2 linked regions of the Drosophila melanogaster genome follow. The protein of the gene in region 1 interacts with the protein of each later gene in a pairwise test. Each region holds a gene or a part of one and is shown on either strand. Other genes may lie near its edges.

Region 1 (11,621 bases):
TGGATGTCACTTCGTTCGTTCCCACGCCGCATCAATGCGCAAAAACATAAGTTTGTTAGGACATTACAACAATTTAGTTTATTTCTGCGACTGACTCATTAGTGGCGGTTGATGAAATGAGATTTTAACATAAATTGCTGTTGGCTTTCGCTACAAATTGTTTTCCTTTGCCCTATAATAATTGATCACTTTAATAACAGGTGAATTGTACTACAAACAACATTAATTTCATGTAGGAAAACCAATTAAACTAATTGAAAGTTAGTAAACTATAATAATGAAAGGTAAAGTTATTTTTAAGAATATACAAATTAAGTTCAGACACTATAAAAAAGTCTTCGATTATACGTATATAAATTATTATTTATTTTTATTAAATTTTCGAATTTTAAATTTTAGCGCATTTGTATAAGCCTATCAATATATCGATTGTTCAGTATAAGCTTAATAATAATCGGTCCTTCTCTATAATTCTAACATCTGACTATCATCAGCTGTTTTTGTTATGATTTTTCTTGACTAATTACAAATAATTTTTAAAATGACAGAATAACTTGAAAACTAAAAGAATAACTAATAATAATAATTCAACTAGAAAATATAAAGAAAAAAAAACAATTAAGCAGAAATGTCCAAGTTACCAAAAGCATCACTTAGTTTGAAGCAGGTAAGCAGGTTTAAATCATTTTTATGGTTTTCCAAATATATTAATAAAACTAACAATAATTGAATGAATTGATTACATTGTAGTTTATGCTGCGCCAGGAAGTACTGAAGCTCTACCGGGAAATATTTCGAACGATTCGTCAGGTTCCCGACAAAAACAGCCAGCTGGAGCTAAAATCCTGGGCACGGCATGACTTCCAGACGAATCGCCATCAAAGTGACGAGGTGGCCATCAAGATGCTCCTTCAGCACGGCAGACGCAGCCTCACAGAACTAAGGACCAGCCTCCAACTGAGCGGGGTGAGCGAGGGCAAATAGGATCAGTCTTGAACATAAATCTTAGCTTAATTTGATTTTATTTTTGAGCTCGACAACCGTACGAAAATAAATACGAGTTAAGACTAAGGACTATGACAAAAAGCTATCGAATCTTTGAGGTGCTACAATTCGCTGTGTTTTTGTGTGTTTCGTGAAGGTGAAATAGCAGTCTAGCGTCTTTGCAGGGAGTTGAACTCCCAGGATCCATTTCAGTTTTCCATTTCAGTTCTTAAAGCAGGGGTCGCAGAAAACTCAACCAGGCCACCTTAAGCAGGGCCAGTGCAAAGAGAAGGGAACCCACGCTGGTGATTATCAACGAGATGATATCTCTCTTGGCATGCTGATCCACTCTGCCCACCAAGAAGCTGTGTATCACGGTGCTGGTAATGTGGGCGCCATCGAAACCAAAGCAGGGAATGGCATTGATCAACGCCAATCCTATGCTGAAGACCACGTTATACTTGAGGAGCAGCAGCCAGGCATCCGGCCAGGCTGCCTTTAATAAGCTATATCTCGGCACAAAGGCGGATACCTCCACAGTTCGAGTGACATCCCATGGATGGCCCACATAGATCACCGGCGGCAGCTTCTCTCCGCGAAAATTCTGTCGCTTGAACGTCATTATGGCAGTGATATTTCGTATAAGCGGTCGTAGGCAGAATCCCTCGTTGCAAACTCCGGACGAGCAGTGCTCGGAGACCTCCTCCAAAGTGCGGCGCACATTGAGACATACATGCTGCGGCAGCTCCACCGGCACATCTCCATTTGCGTCCTCCACCACCTCGAAGCAGCTTACGTTCGGATTTAGTTCATCACAGCACTGTAGCTGACCATCAATGCTATGATGTGAGATGGCGCTGCTTTCGTCGTTAAGCTGCACGAAGTCCGCACTCACACAGTAGCCCGGCTTGAGCTTCAGAGAGTTCTGCAGGCATGTCACCCAACTCTCCTCGCTGTTTACTGGGCAGCCGTTTACTTGGGTTATTTGATTGTCCACTTGCAAGCCGCGCTCTCCCCTCAGCGGGGATTTCCTTGTTAGTTCAGTGACCACTACGTGTTGGTTGTAAGCGTACAAAGGTGACATAGTGATTCCCACCGTTGAGATTAAGAGATAGCACACGCCAGCGAACACAAAATTATGCCAGATTCCAGCGCACAGAACACGTAGCTTGCGGAACCAACGTAGACTGTTTAAGTGGTCGTGGGAGAGCTCCGTGTATGCTAACGGCAGGCAGAAGATGAACTGAAATATTAATATTTACCTAATTAGTAAGCGTATTAGGTTGTAAAGTACGCTATATCATTCTAACCTTTATTCCAAACCCGGTGACAGGCACATCCTCCATCACAGCGGCCAGGGCGTGTCCCATCTCGTGCACCACCAAGCAGAGCACAAGGGTTGTGATGTAGTATCCGATCTCCTCCAACGGCAAGTTGACGCCGGGCAGTAGAATTTCCAGCTGCACAGGGACTCCAACGGGCGAGGATACAGACGAAGAGCTGTCTTGTTCACCACTGCTGAAGATAGTGGCAATGAGCAGGATCAGACCGATCGGGAGCAGAGAAAAGGTGACCAGGACTCCTACATTAAAGCTGGTGATCATTACTCTCCGGGTGCAGCTGTTACCGGCAGATCCCCAGCGTAGGAGGGTCCTGTTAAAGGCACTCGTGTGCCAGTGGAGGCTCATGAAATTTATACTCAGCCCGGTGTTCTTGAGGAAGGCATCGTACGGGTAGTGCATGCAACTCTAAGGGATTACATTAAGTATCTGGACGTACTTTGGCTGGATATACTACACCTTGAAGAAGCGGTCGAAAAAGTAAAGAACGCCATAAAGCGATGCCAGTACTATGAAGAACACGAAGGGATCCATGGCTGGTGAGGTCTCAAGATGTCATTGGTTTGTTGGGATTAGGATGGTGATGCGGATTCTACAGTTGGGGGTCCTCCGGTTGCTGGACGTCACTTGCGAATGCTAGTAGTCCCTACCGGACGGGATTCCTTCCCGAAATCTTACTCCTCTGGTCCCGACTCCTTATACCAGCAATGCTGTGTAGTCCAGACCAGAAATCAGCATTAATCACGTCTGGGAATCTTGTGCGCAAATTAACCTGCGTAAAAAATCGAAATACCAAAAGCTAATCGCAATCGATTGCAGAACTTATCGATGGCCGCTTTATCAATAATACCGATAAGCAAGCTTATTTGGGCGCGAAAGTTTTGAACATTTTCAACTATTCAACGTCAAACAAAGAAAACTGTTGAACAACTCAAAAACAACAATTAAAATTTTTTTATGAAAATGATTTGCTTTCAATATAAAAAAATTCAAAATCCATTGTGTTAAGTGACTTAAAATACATCAAACACATGAGCGAACAGGAATTCTCATATAAGAGACTTTTGCCGACTTGCAGGCTGATCGTCTCCATTATGGCCTGCGTATCCTGTATATCGGGCGTGGCTGCCGGCTATCTTTTCATGACCAGTTTATCAGGTGTCTCTGAAGCGGTAAAGATTGTGTGGACCACCGGATCGGCTCTCTATGCATTATCCTCGCTCCTGTTGATTATTGCAGTTTGGAAGGTTAACCTGAAGCAAAATTAATTGAGGAAATATTCTTAAGAATCCTGTGATTTTGCAGTTCATTAAATGGCTGGCCTATCCATACATGTGCATGCTGCTCATGGCCATTGCCGTCTACACGATGATCCTGCAGTGGCTACTCAAGAACCTACCGGCTGCCGTTTTCTCATCTGTGGCCATCAGCTTTATATTTCTTGGAGTGGCGTTGAACATGACCAAAAGCCTGGAAGAACTACGCACTTCTCTATAGAGCAATGCAAAGTGTTCTCGTTTAGTTTTGGATTTATATTATAAATTTGCCGTGCAGTAATCAAGAGCAACGAATACACCTACTTTGATTAAAATTGAAAAATTATAGGTATATGAAAATCTAGCATGAGAAATTGTAAAGTTACATTTGTTAAATTTGTGTGACTTTAATTCGTAAGGCAATTCGTAATTCATTCATCAGCTGTTTTCAGAAATAAAAGTAGGTGGTTCTGGCAACAGGCGGCCAAAAGAACCTAGCAAAACAAAACGGATGAAAACCAATGGAAAGGAAGAGAGGACCTCTTACTCTTGTTTTTCCTTTTTCCATGCCGAAACTCACCACCACCAAGTTCACCTTAACTGAGTTGGGTTTTCAATGGACCTCCAGAGGACATGAGTATCATCAGTTTAGTCGTGAGCTTGAGCAGCAGCAGAACAGTCGCATCCGCCAAAAAGGGCAACAAACGAAGAGTACTCACGAAAAATAAAAAGGCTTTTGCAAAGGGTTTTCCCAATCAGAGAAAGTGTTCAATAGCTTCAGGCGTATTTTTAACCAATTTAACTCACTGGAAGGATCCAATTCGTTCGATTGTGATTGAGTAAGCTAAGAACAAAGGACTTCAGCTGGAATCTCGCCCCATATCGATTTGTTCCAAAAACTGCATATTCGCCAGCGAGTGAGTGAGAGAGTGCGCTTGTGCCGAAAACGGATACGGAAGGGGGCGACAAGGAAGCGGAAGCGGAAACAGCTGCTGCATAAACAATAGTAACAGGGAATACTGTGTGTCACATCAACGCATCATGACGCCAGAGCAGCAAGGATATTGCCCCTAGGAAAACCCATACAAGTTCCTCAAGGAAGCCCTCAAGAAAAAGCGAACGAAAATCGCAATCGATTCGGAGAACAAACCATCAAGACGAACCCGCAAAGGATTCAGTGCCAAAGGAGCCGTTCCGGCAGAAGCAGCAGTAGCAAGAGAGTATTTATTTTGGGCCAACCGGTGAAGGCCCGCGAACGTCAGCTCTTCAGGACTTTAAGGACCCAAAGCAGAGGCAACCCAATGCATTTGGGTGCACAACAACAACGCCCCAAGCAACAACAACAACAGCGCGAGCAACAAGAGAAACATCAAAGGCGTTTCACGTTCAGTAAAGGACGGCAATGTCGTCCCTACAGCGTGACTGGCATTTACAGGTGAGTAGTACTACCCAGCATCCCATTATCCTTACTTTGGGAAGGTCAGGAACCATCCCCCTTGATTCCTCCTCGCTGCCTTTTCTGGGGAGTGGGCCAATGGCAATCGTATTGAGGTAGCTGGAGTTTGGGTTCCTCTGGTGAGCATGCGCACTGGACCAGAGAGTGTTTTACGAGTACGTAAACATTGCAAGCGACAGGAGAATGGGTCAACGTCACAAGTTGCATCCATCTTAGTCGCTTTAGAAGAACGGGGACAAGAAAGTAAACAATACATGCCCCGACTGCTGATGGAAAGACCGAAAACCACAAGCCAAAGTTCAGTCGTGGCATGGTGTTGACCTTTAATGACACCTATTAAATCGAATAGAAGTGTTCATTTCTACTAGTTTTGACACAAATGAAAAGTAACTTTTTATTATGCTTATAATTATACTTACACTTACAATCGTTGATTTTGTAAACACTTAAAACATGAATTTTGAGCCAAATTTAAGTAGGTGTTTACACTCGCATATGGGAGTACAGCATCCCTACACTTAAGCATCAATGTCCTGCTGATTGGGTGAACTAATTGGCCTAGGCCTGTGCAACCTAATATCTATTATTACGGAGGGCTAGCAATTACGGGTGGCTCAACAAGTTGTGCGTCAAGTCCTCCCCACTAGATTCCCTCCCCGACTAGATACCACCCTCGACCAGCCGACTTGAGGCCACCCCTTTCACCTTGACCGCTTATCGTTCAGGCCCACACACGAGCGCCAACTAACTTGGCCCGGGGGAAGGTTCTTCCGTTTCATTAAGCGCTGGCAAAGGCCTTGAAATGTTGGGAAATTGAAAACAACCAGCGATTGCAGAGCTGCCCCAGCGAAAGCTTCCTGACAGCTTAAGCCGGATTCCAGCTGACAGCAGAGGGTGGTCTTGGGGGTTCTTGGCGTCCAGGATATCGTATACCATCGCATGCCACGGCGACGTGGGCCTTTGACATTCGACAAGGTCACTGGCTCTAGGATGCTGTGACTCATGCTCTTGAGGGGGAGTTGCCAAATGCCAAGAGTTGGCCAACGCTCATTAGTCGTGTCAGATGTGTGACTGCATTTTGCACTCGTTCAAGAATATTGCATGCCATCTATTTGGCATATTTCTACCATCAATATGGCTGACAGTTCATAAGCGGCACGAAGTTCGACAAATGACATGCCACGTAAACAAAAGACAAATTTATTAAATTTACTTTCAAAGTTAGAATTCAATTATATAAATTTACTTGGCTTTATTAAGCATAAGTGATGTTATGATTTGTTACATTTACCATGCAATATTTATTCGTTATAATAATTATTGATTATTTGCTCATTAAGAACTGACATGCTTAGATAGGATACTTAAGTAAAAGCAAATAAAAAGGTTGACTAAGGATAGAGCGCTTCACCTAATATATTGTGCATAGGTTTAACCAGCGTTGGGCACCAATCCTTCTTTCTAATGGGCACACACGTCGCATACTTGATATTTGATGCCAGCAATGTATCATATTTCGTATACGTACGTCATTGGAAGTACCAAGAAATAGGTGGGAGCGGGACAACTAAGTGCGAAATAAGAAGCTATTAGGAAATGAGTTATTACGAACTGTTGGTTATAACAATAAGATTGCGACAGCACATAAATATTAAGGGGGCAGGTGTTGAAATCTAATTAGGAATAGTTCAATATGAGGTAAAAATATTAACTGTGCACATATAACATAAAGTTTTAAATGTATATATTAGTTAGTATGTATAGTTGAGCTGTTGGCATGGCTGTAAACCCAATAATACCTTACATCAACTTACCGAATTTCGTTTTTGACTGCTTTCCAATTGTGTCCTTTCTACGAGGGCTTGGCAAAGATTGGCGTCTTATCAGCACGGGTATATTTCCTGGCATTAGCCTTCGGTTCGAGCATTGCATCGTCCTTGGATTGGAGCAAACACCCACCACTGCTCCTTTGGGGCCAATCGAACCCCCCATCAATTTCCGGCAACAAAGACAGAAACTAAAAAAGTGCTGAAAGGCAACCGCATGCCAGACCAGACCCACCTCGCTCTTGACCCTGAGTCGTCGGAAAATGGAGGTTTCGTGGGAGGAAGTGGCAGCGGATCCCGCAGACAAATGGAAAATTCCCAGACGTCATGCCAGCCCGCAAGGCACAGCATGCACCTGCAGCCTGGCATCGATTTAACAAAGTACATATAACAAGAAAATCCGCTCGGTCCGCGGGTAATTACATAGCCCAGCGGAGCGGGAATCGGGAAGGAACTGGATGTTAACTCAATTAAACAAAACGTATTGCATACATTAGGTCGTTGCAGCGATGTCGTCTATAAGGCGGCAGATCGCGTGCGCTCCTCGCATTTCGTTTAGCAATGCAAATTGGGCTAAGTTGTTGCTTCCTTGACCCGCCTCCAGTCGATTTGTCAACAGCCCCGGATTTCTGACGGGGTTTAACCCATTTTTGAATGCTACGGCGGAGGCGGAATTTTTGGATGCACGCCAATTTGGGACATTAACTTTTGATGTCTACTACTTGATAAGAACTTTCGCAATTAAATTGGCCCATTTTCTTGGGTTGCTTACTTCGTTAACTTGTTATGTTATTTAATTGTTATTTAAAAAAAACATCCCTCCATACTCCATACTCCATATCTTAAACACACTTTCATAGATTTATATTAAATATTGCACTAGATAACCAGCATATTTAATGTTTAACGATACAAAAATACTATTTATGTTTTTCGCAGGGTTCCCGGGGATCGGTTTACTGCGCGAGTGAACCGGACCCAACTGGTGGAGTCCAGTACGAGTCGGGAGGGTGCCTTCTCCACACGAAGACGGCTGAGGGCTCCGGCGGAGGGGCGGGCGTGGACGGGTCCGGTGGCGGAGTCGGCCTCGAATGCGGCTCCCTGTTCTCGGTGGTATCAGCGCCGCCGGCTCCACTGCCCGACATCGTTGTGCCCACCGAGATGGATGGCAAACACATGGAGTCCGCCGCCTTCCGCTCCGGATGCTGTTCACCCAACGCCTCGCCCATGCGACGACCCGCCACCCTCAGCCTGGACACGCAATGCTGCCCGAGGACCCTGCACGCCAGCCTGCTGGAGCATCAGATCTCCGAGCTGGAGGAGGACGACAATGAGAACCTGCTGACCGTGTCCAGCATCACGGCGCGACCGTTGATTGCCAAATCGCATGAGCTTCGCAGCAGTCGGAAGTCGGGTTCAGGTTCCGGATCTGGTTTGAATACGGCCCGCAGCAGGTGCGTCCGCCGGGCCAAGGAGCGCGAGCGGGATCGCGTGACCGTCGCCAGGCGTAGCAAGCAAGTGGTCAAGGATCGGGACTCCTCAACGACCACAACGGAGAGCGGTGGTCCGAATGTGGAGCCACCGGACGGCGGTTACGGTTGGTTCATCGTCTTTGGGGCCTTCTCCGTGCAATTCTGGGTGGCCGGACTGGTCAAGTCGTACGGCGTGCTGTATGTGGAGATTATGGAGACATTTCCCAGCTCTACGGCCACCGTGGCCTCCTGGATTCCAGCGATCCTGTCGGCTCTATGTCTGGTCCTGGCCCCGCTGTCCAGTGCTCTTTGCCAGCGATTCTCCTGCCGAACGGTGGTCTTCGTCGGCGGCATTTTCTGCGCCATGGGCATGATACTGAGCTACTTTGCCACCAGTCTGCTGCACCTCCTCCTAACATTTGGCGTACTCACAGGTGCATAATGTATAATCAATTTAAATTTATCCTCATCACATTAGTAATTATATTTATTTAGTTATCATGATGTTTATATTTAACTATTTCTTCACGCCCAGGTATTGGAGGTGGCCTCTCGACTACTCCGGGCATAGTGATAGTGTCCCAATACTTTGACAAGCACCGTGCATTGGCCAATGGAATCTGCGTTTCGGGCACTGCCGCCGGCAGCTTCATCCTACCCGTTCTGATAAAGCACCTCGCGGAGAACTGTGGCTTCCACGGCACTATTCTGATCCTGGGCGGTTGCATGCTTCACGTGTGCGTTTCGGCCACACTTTACCGCCCAATCAGTGCTTACACGGATCAGGACTCGGGCCAGGGACAGGAGGAGACGGCAAAGCCCCTCAACGAAGACATCAATCCGAGCACCACGGGCATTCTGACTACATCCACCTACCTAGACACCTGCGATGTGGGTGCAGGCCACGAGCTGAGCGACAAGTTTATCGAGCATCTGTTCCTGGAGGAGTCCAAGAACCACCTGAACTACTATGCCAGCAAGCAGCCAGGTGGGAGTATTATTTCATCGAGGAAAACTCCAAATAATAAATCCCATTTGGTTACTTAGCCCAGGACAAGTCAGCGCAGGAGAGTGACGACGAGGTAAAGGATATTATTGGCGAGACCACTTTCATCAAGCCCATGAAGAAGGTGCGCAGTTCCGGATTGCTGCACTCCGTCGAAGATCTGAGCACGGACTCCACTTGGGTCTATCGCAAGCACTCCGGCACGGACTCCAATCGCGGAAGTCGTCGTCGGCGCAATGTCTTTGCCAACGACGAGGTGATATCCAAGATACAAGCCCACTTGGAGAAGCCTCTTTCGCCGCCGAGTGTGGTCAGTCGCGGACTCAGCAAGAGCATGGAGATACCCACTCCGGTTAGCAACCTCAGTGATCTCAAGCAGCAGCCGGTGGAGCAGGCGGAGCTCGGCATTCTAGACTCCCAGCTGGTGGAGTCCATTATCGATGGCGACGGCCACCTTGCCGCCGATGAGGATGACGATGACGACGAAGAGCGGGGACCACGCACTTGCTGCGAGCGCATCGAGATGTACCTGGACATCAGTCTGCTGCAGGACCCGAGCTTTATCCTGATGTGCCTATCCGTCACCTTGATGTCCGTCGGCTGTCCCTACATGTTGTACTATCTGCCCGCCCACGTTATTTCAATAGGTATACTATTTAAAATGTTCAAAGTATATTCTTTCGGCGTACGATTTTAAATATTATAAACTTGGTTCATCTTTAGGATACAATAAAAGTGAGGCGGGATACCTGGTGGCCATCAGCGCGGTCCTAGATTTAATTGGGCGCCTTGGACTTGGCTGGCTGTGCGACCTGCAGCTATTCGATCGCAAGAAGACCTACACCTTGTGGTGAGTACCAGATAAGGTTTATTTTTCGATCCAAACTAATCACATTTCCCTATATCGACAGCATTTTGGGCGCCGGATGTGCCGTGCTCACAATTCCCTTCGCCAAGACTCTGGTTTTGGTGGGTCTATCGGCCGCTGTCTACGGACTTTGCCTGGGTAGCTGGTATGTACTTATGCCGGTCCTCCTTGCGGACGTCTTTGGCACGGACAGGATCAGCTCGAGCTACGGGCTGGTGAGGATGTTCCAGAGCATCGGGGCCATATCGGTGCCTCCGCTGGCAGGACTGATGCGAGACCTTTCCGGAGACTACGAGATATGCTTCTACTGCATGGGATCCTGCATGGTGCTCGGGACCACTCCGCTGATTGTGTGGTCCATCCTGGAGGCCCGCAACCATCGGTTGTTTGTTCAGCGCGAGGAGGAGGAGTGCGAGGAGGCCTAGAAATGATTCGGATTCGTTGGTTGCCCCATATGTTAATAGTGTTTTAGTAGCGATCAAATACTAGTTGAGTTCCTGAGTTTCAGAGTTCGAATGCCTCACCGATATTGCTGATTCTACCAGTTACTATTACTACTATCCGTACGTTCTCATCCGTATCTTTGTATCTTAATCAATCCCCATGCCCACCCGCACCCAATCGCTTGTTATCCTTCCGTTGAGCAACAGCAAAAGGATGTGTAAGATGATGATATTCAAACGAAGAAACCAAACAACCTAAACAACCAACAACTGAGCACCAAATGTTGCGCAAAAAGAACTGAGTTTAAAAGACATGAACTACAAATACCCGTATATAACTTTATAATATGATAACTACGATCAATGCCCGACTAGATGGTTATATAGGCCGACTATAGTTGTAGGTTCGCACATCCATATCGGAAAGGACTAAACTTTGTGCAGGAAAAATTAAGTGGCTTTAGACAGAAGGGAGGCTTGAATGGAGAACATCACATTACATTACCCTAGAATTAAAATAGTTGTTGTGAGACATTTACCCATAAAGACAATTACCAAATAAACACGAAATCAAAAGGTTAATCGCGTTTTATGGAATTAAAGGGAATGATTTCGCTTGGTTTGGGTTTTGCATTCGTTTATGTTATTAAATAAAGTCCTTTCTTTTTTTATTCGTAATAAAAACGGATTTTTCAACCACGTTTAAAAAATTTTTTTTATGAATGAATTTATCTCTTTTTAAAGAAAAACATTTTGTTTTATTAGGCTGTGAATAGGCTGTTATAACGCTGTTGAAACAGTGAGAATAATATACTCGAATCGATAGTACCGAAAAATATCGATATTGTTCCATCTCCACTGCATTGACGTTCATTTTTTCGCGTCCCTAAAGCGACTTTGTGCACAATTCGCAAAAAATTAAGACTAAAGTAAAGTAAAAAGTAAGAAAGTAAACTTCGCACCGCTCCAT
Region 2 (8,290 bases), on another chromosome or scaffold:
TTGTGGTTACCCCAGAGCTGTTGGCCATATCAAATTCCATTGCATACCTCGGCGATCGCGGGCACAGTGGGTTGCAATCCGTTTATGGTAGGATACTTTAAAGAAATGCTGGATTTCAAACACTAGTCTTATTGGGACATCTTAAACATTCGTTCTTATAGCATACTTTGCGGATTACACGCACTTTGTCCTTAAATGGAAACCAAATTGTGTTTTTTGGGCTAAAAAAAAAGCAAACAAAGCAAGGAATTATATATTGCATTGGTCATCTTTTGGGGTTTGCTGGCTTTTAAAGTTAATGGTTCTGTGTTGAAAACTTTACCTTCGAGAAATTCAGAAATAATTCCTCGTGTGCCAAAGGTTTTTACTCAAGAAGTTTGCCTGTAGTTTTTAGATGATTCAAATCACAACCCGGATTGTAACCGTTTTCTATCTATTTCGATTTGAAGACGGCTTCACTGTACACAGCATTGATGACAACACCGAGATACACACATCTAAGTAAACCCTGTTGGCGAAATAAAGAGGAACGCATGAATTCGATTGCGATGATGATGGAACTCAGTCTTGTTTTTCTAAGCCTTTTAATTAAGGCAATTAAATTGACACCCCTCTCCCAATGCCCGCTTATTATTTCATTTTTTATCGGTCATCCGAGGTTCGATTTTTGGCCTCGGCTTAGAACAGCATCGTTTGTGTGTGCCGCTTGAATGTCGGAGTGTGCGTTGGTGTGTGTGGGTCTTGAGCGAGCGTACGAGAGAGCAAATAAACTGAGTCATGGCTGACGATGACGTTATGCTGCTGCTCTTTTCTACTCTATTATAGTCCGCTGCCTAACTTGCGGCTAGGGCAATTTGTCTCCAAAGTGTTTATGCTCAAAGTTTGCCAATAAAACGCGAAAGAAGGAACAAAAGTTTGGCACCAATGCCCGAACACGACTACCATGGCATTTAGCATTCGATTGACCTCGAGGCCAGCAGCAAATCGATAGCAATGTTTTTTGTTTCTCCTCCAAATCGATAACATGCCGCACAACACCGCCGCCCGCACCCCCAAGCCTCCCCCTTTGTCCACCAAAATGCGGCTTTGAAAACTAGTTTGTGTAGGATGCTCTCACTCCGTGATAAATCTGATTTGAGTTCTAATTAATTTGAAACGATACGATATCGATGAAGATGAACTCGTTTGCGTGCTCTAGCTATCACATTGGAAAGCTAAATTGCTATATATTTTGCCATTAATTTGATTTTAGTTTAAGCTAATGGAAAATTATCATCAGTGAGAATAAATTAGGTGGTTATGGTAATTAAATTTAATGGAATAATAATAATACCTAAATTGAAAGTCTAACACGTAAACGCCATGAACCATGTGGTCGTTTTTTGATAAATTTCACTATAATCTCTAAATTTCAAGATTATTAGTTATAAAGGCATAGTGGCCAATGCAGTACATAGTATATTAAATATTTCATCAATCACATTATCTGTCGACAGTTTTATTTTGTGCGAACACGTCAATTATGAGTAATAGATTTTTCGCTTTATCAACTGGCAAGAACTTTGGAAAATTTGTCAATTATTAGTACTTCTATTGTCAACTACAAGTCCTATGACTCTTCTTGCTTCTTTATTATTTATGAACTCATTGCAAGCATTGCAAAATGTTCTCTATGGTTTGGTTGTTGGAAACACCTCATCAAATACTATATACCCCCCTGATCGCTTTAATCTCAGCGGGCAATGCGAACAGCTGATTTCATATTTGCTCTCGCAAATTTGTAAAAATAAATACGGCTGACCAATAATAAATGCGACGAGACAACCCCCCTCGATGCCGCCAACCCGCAAAAAACCCCTACCTTTCCAACACCCATGCCGAATTAGCAAAGTTCCCTGCCTTCCGAAAAGATGGAGATCTACATTCGTGTGCGAACCGCATAGAACCGCCCGAAACCAGAGCGGCAGTGCGAGCGGGACGGCAATGGACCAGAGGCGGTCAGTTTGGACGGTCTGGTGGTCTGGGTCTTTGGGACTCGGCGACTGGGCCGCGGACATCTGACGTCGTTGTCGACCATGCTCCGGCTACGGTATTATATCATGTGGCCAAGACGTTGGTGTGGTTTTTGGTTGCGGTAGTATTGGTGTTGGTGATACGGACGGACGGACGGAGTCCCGTATTTGTTCAAAGTACTGCATTGGGGCTTTATCTTAATGCGATAGAATGAGAGTCGGATTCGTGACACGTTACGGAAACATTTCAACTGGCGTTCTATCTGCTCTGCTGAGGGCCGCACGTCGTCTGGCGGTAAACAAAAAATCCAGCGCACTATGATTTAGCGTTGTCCGTTCGACGGTTTTATTGCCAAAAGTTTGAGAATTTATTTTGACTAGTTTTTTTTGAGCTGTTTCCTTGTATAACACAATTGCTTTCAAAAATGTTTACGTGTTTTATGGCTTTTATTTTGGGGGGAAATAGAAACGAGTAAGAATTTTAATTCTTATGTAAGGTTTATTATTTTAGCTGTTTTTCAAACATTGATGCCTTTCGTCAGTTGAGGAATTTTAAAGCTAATGTTCATGGATAATGAAATCGGCCAGCTCTGGTGATAGCTTCTACCCTTTTTTTTTTCTTATCTATTCTGCTTACTCGGTGACTGTCCTCCCGCATTGATAAGAGTGGGAATAGTTGTTTTCTCGACACATCCGCAATACGAAATTCTAGAAGTAATAATAGATCTCGGGCCAATTGTTATCAGCTTTTATGCGGACGTCATGCGGTGAAGCAAATGGAATGCTATTTTTCTTCGATCGTCAAATAATTGGTCGTAATTACTCGCAGACTCTGTCACTTGGTGATTTTTGTTGAATCATTGCTCGATTGCAATTTGTTTGATACTGTTCCTTAAGTGCTTCTATAGGCTGAGAGAAAAGTGAATAAAAGTAGCGTACTTTCAGGCCCATACGAGCACAAGTACATTGTAATTCCGTCAATTTGGGAAATTCCTATTGAACTGTAAGATAAGGTTTCCAAGAGCAAATATTGATTAATAACTCAATTTATGGTTTTAAAATTTTTTTTAAGTTTCTAGCTAATTTAGTAGCTTGAAGTCAGACCTAGCTTCTGCATTTTGTTTTAAATAAAACAGGTGATTTCAAATTCCTAAAGATTCCTGTATAATGAAAAAATGTCGTTTAAACTCGATTTATTTTTCGCCATTTTGTACAGTACTCGTAATCGGTCTGGTCAAGATAACGGCCGAACTATTTAGATAAGCTGACAAGTGTATGTCAAACTGAACCCAAATCACTGTGCGTCGACGTCGCTGCCGCAGCGAAGGCGGCTACTCTCGTCCGTTGGTCATGTGTGCGATTCAGTCTGCTCGCTGAATTCGCCGCGTTCGCTCTGTTCGCTCTGTTCTGTTTGCCTCGTTTTGGCCCGTCCGTTTGCCAAATTTCGTTTGCTTTTTGTGTTCCCGTTGTGCAAGAACAGCCAAACAGAAACAACAACTACACTAGTACAAGTACGTGCAGCAACAACAATGGCCATTGGCTAAAAAGCAGCTAGAAATTGTTGCGCTCCTTGTGTAAAACATAATTATTTGCTCTCAGTCTCAAGAATCCCTCACTCTCTTTCTCTTGCTTTCACTCTATCTCCCTCTCTTTTGCTCGTTGGCTAGCCAGAAAAATAGTATTTTCGTCGTCAACGTGCCATAATTTCTTTTTTCTGCTTAGCCAGCAAAAAAATAGAACTTTTGGACTGGGAAAAGTTAGATGTGCGTTTGTGTGAGTGCGTGTGAAAAAAGAACTGCAAAAGTTAACGTTAAATTAGCGGGCTAAAAGAAAAACCCAACCACCCGCCGCCCCACTTATGTGAACAGCACGTGCTTAGCTGCAGTGAAAATAAAACAAAAAAAAATTAAATGTGACATTTGAAAAATTATACATTTAGCTGAATGTTGAATGTTGTTCGTTCGGCTTTCGTTTTGATTTTGATCTTTTCGATTTGTTTTTGTATCCTTGATTCCGCTCCTCTCCACAATCTCTTCTTAATTTGAATATTGATGTATAATTTTAAAAAGTTTTCTCTCACTCGTCTTTCCTTTTGCCTTTGTTGTTGGAAAAAAGCATACAAATAAAACCGAACGAAAAACACAACAAAAAGAATACGGGGAAGCGCACGAAAAGTTTGCCTTCATACGAAAATAAATGCAAAATGAGAAATTTTCTTAAATATTTTTATTTGCGAATATAGCTTCATGAATTAAGAACAAAATAGGAAAGCTGGAAGAGCCAAAAAATAGAAAAATTCGCACTCAAGCAAAACACCAAACGGAAGATCCAAAGCAAACAACCAACCAACAACATCAACAGCATCAACTAATATCAAATTAAATAACTAAGCCTAATAACGTATACATTTAAAGATCTATTTATAAATTAATATTTACCATAATGATTTAGTAAGTTAAGCTTAAAGTACAAAAAAAAAAAAATAAGAAAAGCAAAGAAAAAGAAACACCACAACCAACAACAACATCAACAACCAACCAACCAACAGCCACAAATAATTAATCAATCATTAAACGGAGTAAATTCACAAATCTGTAATAAATGCAAATGACAAGGAAATAACGAAAACGACAACAACAACAAGTCACCGCCAACAACAACAACCACACATCGGCAGCATAATTAACAACAACCAACAACAACAACGGATCAATACCAAAGATGGAGGCAAAATTCTTGGCTAGCGCTCTTTCATTCCTCTCGATATTTTTAGCGATTTATGCTCAATCACTTGGTGAGTACAGCCCCCCGAAAAAACCCCTCTAAATCTAAAAGAATGAACCCCCTACAATAAGCATAATGATAAACAAAGAAGGCCCTTTTAACCTATAAGTTGTACCCCGCCCATAAAATCACCCTGCCCCAACCACACACCCACCCATACACACATATAATATTAACACACCTATGTACGTAGCAGCCCAGTATAAAGGAATACAAAAAATATACATACATATGTATATGGGGGAAAGTATGGTTAAACTGCAGCTGTGATAGCAGAAATTGCAAAACAGAACACAACCGAACCGAACAAAGCAAAACAAAGAGGTGGAGCAAGAGGAGGAAGGGAATAAATAAAAAACAGCAGATTGTTTGTGGCTTACTGTAACACCCACTAACCTTATCCCACGCCCCCTAATTGCCCCGCCACCCAAAACAAAAGTGCACCCACCAAAGGGCGAGGGTGTTCGTCCACCCACCACCTGACTTTTACCCCTTCCAAGTTCACCCTAAAGCCAGACCCTAGCCGCAATAATGGAAACAAACAGTATTAATACGAGGCGACTTAAATCAATGGTAAAGTTATCGGAGAAATGTATCGATAATTCTTCAAATTAGGGGATCTCAGAAAGGGGCACTTTGCTGGTCCTTTAGCCACAAGACACAAATGGGTTTTACCAGCGATATTCGAAAATATTAATATATTTGAGTCCGCGCTTTTAAAAATGAAACTTTTATTTCGTTCACGTTCTCGTCTTTGAATAGAACCACAAAATGGACAATCACATTTCTTTTTTGCCCGGCTTTATGTATTCTCTTTTCATATTGCACGGGACACCATCCACCCACCAGCCACCCACGAGCCACCCACCATCCATTTTCCAACTTTGGACAAGGTCTCTGTGCTGCATTCTACTGTTTTGCCCTCTAGTTAAGCGGACTTCGATATTTTCGTGTTGCTTTTATAGTTCATATTGTTGGGTCGGTTGGATGGACTTGGGATTGGATTGCAGTGCTGCCATATTGACATTGTTGCTTATGTTTTTTCCCCCTGCCGTTTTCGTCGTAGGTTTTCCGTCGCTTTTCCACTGTTCGCGCGACCGCATTTCATTTGATTTTCAATTTTCCACACAATTGCTGAAAGAGAACAGCGGCGAATGTCGGAAAAAAAAAGCAGAGGAGCAGAAGCAGAAGCAGACGCAAAAGCAGAGTATCAAGTTCATTTCGGTTCTAGTGAGGGCTATCTTTAAGAATTTTTGTTTAGCCTTAAGAAGACTATTTTACATGCGGTCCAATAATTACGGCCTGTCTCTGGTTTTCCCCGCTTGTTTATATTAACTTTAGCCGACCCAAAGCGAAGCGGACCAGAACGAATCGATTTACCGATTAACCGATACGTGCCCGATACGTACCCGATACGAACCGGCAACGGTGGCCTGCATTTTGTTTACATATGGAACTGGGCAGCCCCGCCTCGCACCTTCCACCTTCCTTGGGGATTTGTCTATGATGCCCGCGCGGGCGGTTCCATCTATTTATTATTCTATGCATACTATCCATTTACCTATTCTACTTTATTCCATACATCCATCTATCTACATATCTATCCGTCCGTCCGTCTGAATATCTGAATGTCCGTCTGGCTCTGGCTCACTACCAAAACCTACGTATGTTCATGAATTTTGATTTTTTTTTTCGCTAAACTGAACGTTTGGCTGGTTTTGTTTTGTTTCGTACATTATTTAGCCCCATGCAGCTATTTTCACATTCAAGGTGTATTAATTGAGTTTTTTTTTCGTGCTGTTCATATGCTGGCATTTATTCATAGTTGATTGGGGGTATTCGTTCCGTTCAAAAGGCAGTGTGTAAATAATTTAAGGTTTTATTCGTGTCTTTATTAGGTTCTCTGATTGATTTGTTCAATTATTCATAGATACACAAAGTTTCGGCTTATTATGGGTTAAAAACGAAATGCAAAACTATTGTCCATTTTAGAACAAACCCATATCGTTAAGTGTTGTTGTACCTTACTCTTAGTTTTTATTAGACCATTTGGTATTTTTTGCACAATTTCGTTAGCGTACTAAATATTCAATGATTTTTCAAATTGTTTACGTAAATAAGCAGCCGAAATAAAAGAAAGAAATTACCGGGCACGCATCGAGGGAAAACCGGCATGGAAAAACAAGAAAAGCGATCCCTCCAGGGAGATAATGTCGGGTGGTACATACATATGTTGGCACTACATGAATCACTTTGGTTGCTTGTTGTTGGAAAGGGGGGGTAGGGGTGGCAGGTCGAAAACCAGAAAGCCAATTTGAAGAAGCATTCCTTTGTCTCCCCGCTGAATTTGCCCCACACCACTTCAAAGCCATTTTCAGCTAGTGGCGAAAAAACCACGTGTTGTCCAGGTGTTTATGCTGCGGACGAATGTGCGAAGAGCCAAAATATAATGCTGGTCTGGTCACACCACCCAACCCCCCATCCCATATTGCCCCCAAGTCTGAGAATATTCCATAGGTCTTGTCACATACATATGTACATATGTATGTACACTGTACCATGTACTCCTCCTTATTTCTCTTTTGTTTTGCGGAATATCCGAGCAGGTGGAATGTCTTGGCAAGTGCTTTCATTTCGGCTGTTGACTGCGCACATTTGGCTAACCAGTTTCATTTTGCCATGTTTATTTAATGACATTTTCATTACATTAATAAATGTCAAATATTTAAATTTCGGCTCACCCAGCAAAAGGAAGCCAAAGCAAACAAGTAGCGTAAAATGAAACCGATGTAAAGTGGGCTAAAAAAAAGGTTTAAATGCTTAAAATGCTATGATACTATTTGTATCAATATAAACTAAACTAAACTAACATTTAAAATGTTATCACAGGCGAAATATCATCTAACAAAGAAACTTTTGTTCCGCGACTTACAATGTTAATAAGAGAAAATGTTTAATTAAGCTGACTGTGTGCCCTTTTTCAATTACTTTATCGCTGGAAGTCTCTTATTGCACATAAATCATACGTATTGATCAAGAATCTCAAGCGGATTAAGCTGAAGTGAATTTAACTCCTTGAACGCCTAGCAATAATTCAATGTTGTTCTGGTTTCCCTTGCTTTTGCTGCATTTGCTATAAAAATACATTACGAATGGCAGAGATTGTCTTGGGTATCTGCATTCTGCATTGAATCCGAGATGATTTGTGCGAGATACGAGGCGGTGGCGGCAGAACCTGACTGTTTTGCTTCTTTTGCGCAAACATTATTTTTATTAAGACAATAAACATGAAATGTAATTTCCCTTTCAATGTCATCGTCGCCTGGCGTTGGCTTCAGTTTAGTTTGGTCTCATATTGGATTGGGTTGCGTCTGGCTGGGCTTGGGTTGAGTTTGAGTTTGGAACTTGAGTTCTATGGTTGGTTTTACATGACTACACACACACACACACACAGAGAGAGAAAGGCGTCATGGTGAAAGAAAGGCTTGGCTGGC

The links.
Region 2: the proteins of Sln (region 1) and Bsg interact in a two-hybrid assay, tested with the Drosophila melanogaster proteins (one large-scale study listed by BioGRID).

The regions. Positions count from the first base shown.
Region 1 is NT_033778.4:11,841,096-11,852,716, forward strand, and holds Sln (silnoon), read left to right. Parts: upstream 1-4,228; 5' UTR 4,229-4,982; coding exon 4,983-5,015; intron 5,016-7,801; coding exon 7,802-8,768; intron 8,769-8,869; coding exon 8,870-9,322; intron 9,323-9,381; coding exon 9,382-9,987; intron 9,988-10,063; coding exon 10,064-10,190; intron 10,191-10,251; coding exon 10,252-10,633; 3' UTR 10,634-11,229; downstream 11,230-11,621. Other genes in the region: CG34229 (uncharacterized protein), read left to right, coding at 629-667, 751-984; S2P (site-2 protease), read right to left, coding at 1,214-2,227, 2,295-2,732, 2,784-2,858; CG43190 (uncharacterized protein), read left to right, coding at 3,419-3,571, 3,630-3,821.
Region 2 is NT_033779.5:8,084,931-8,093,220, forward strand, and holds the start of Bsg (basigin), read left to right. Parts: upstream 1-3,373; 5' UTR 3,374-3,586; intron 3,587-3,679; exon of another isoform or gene 3,680-3,775; intron 3,776-4,172; exon of another isoform or gene 4,173-4,463; 5' UTR 4,464-4,733; coding exon 4,734-4,806; intron 4,807-8,290.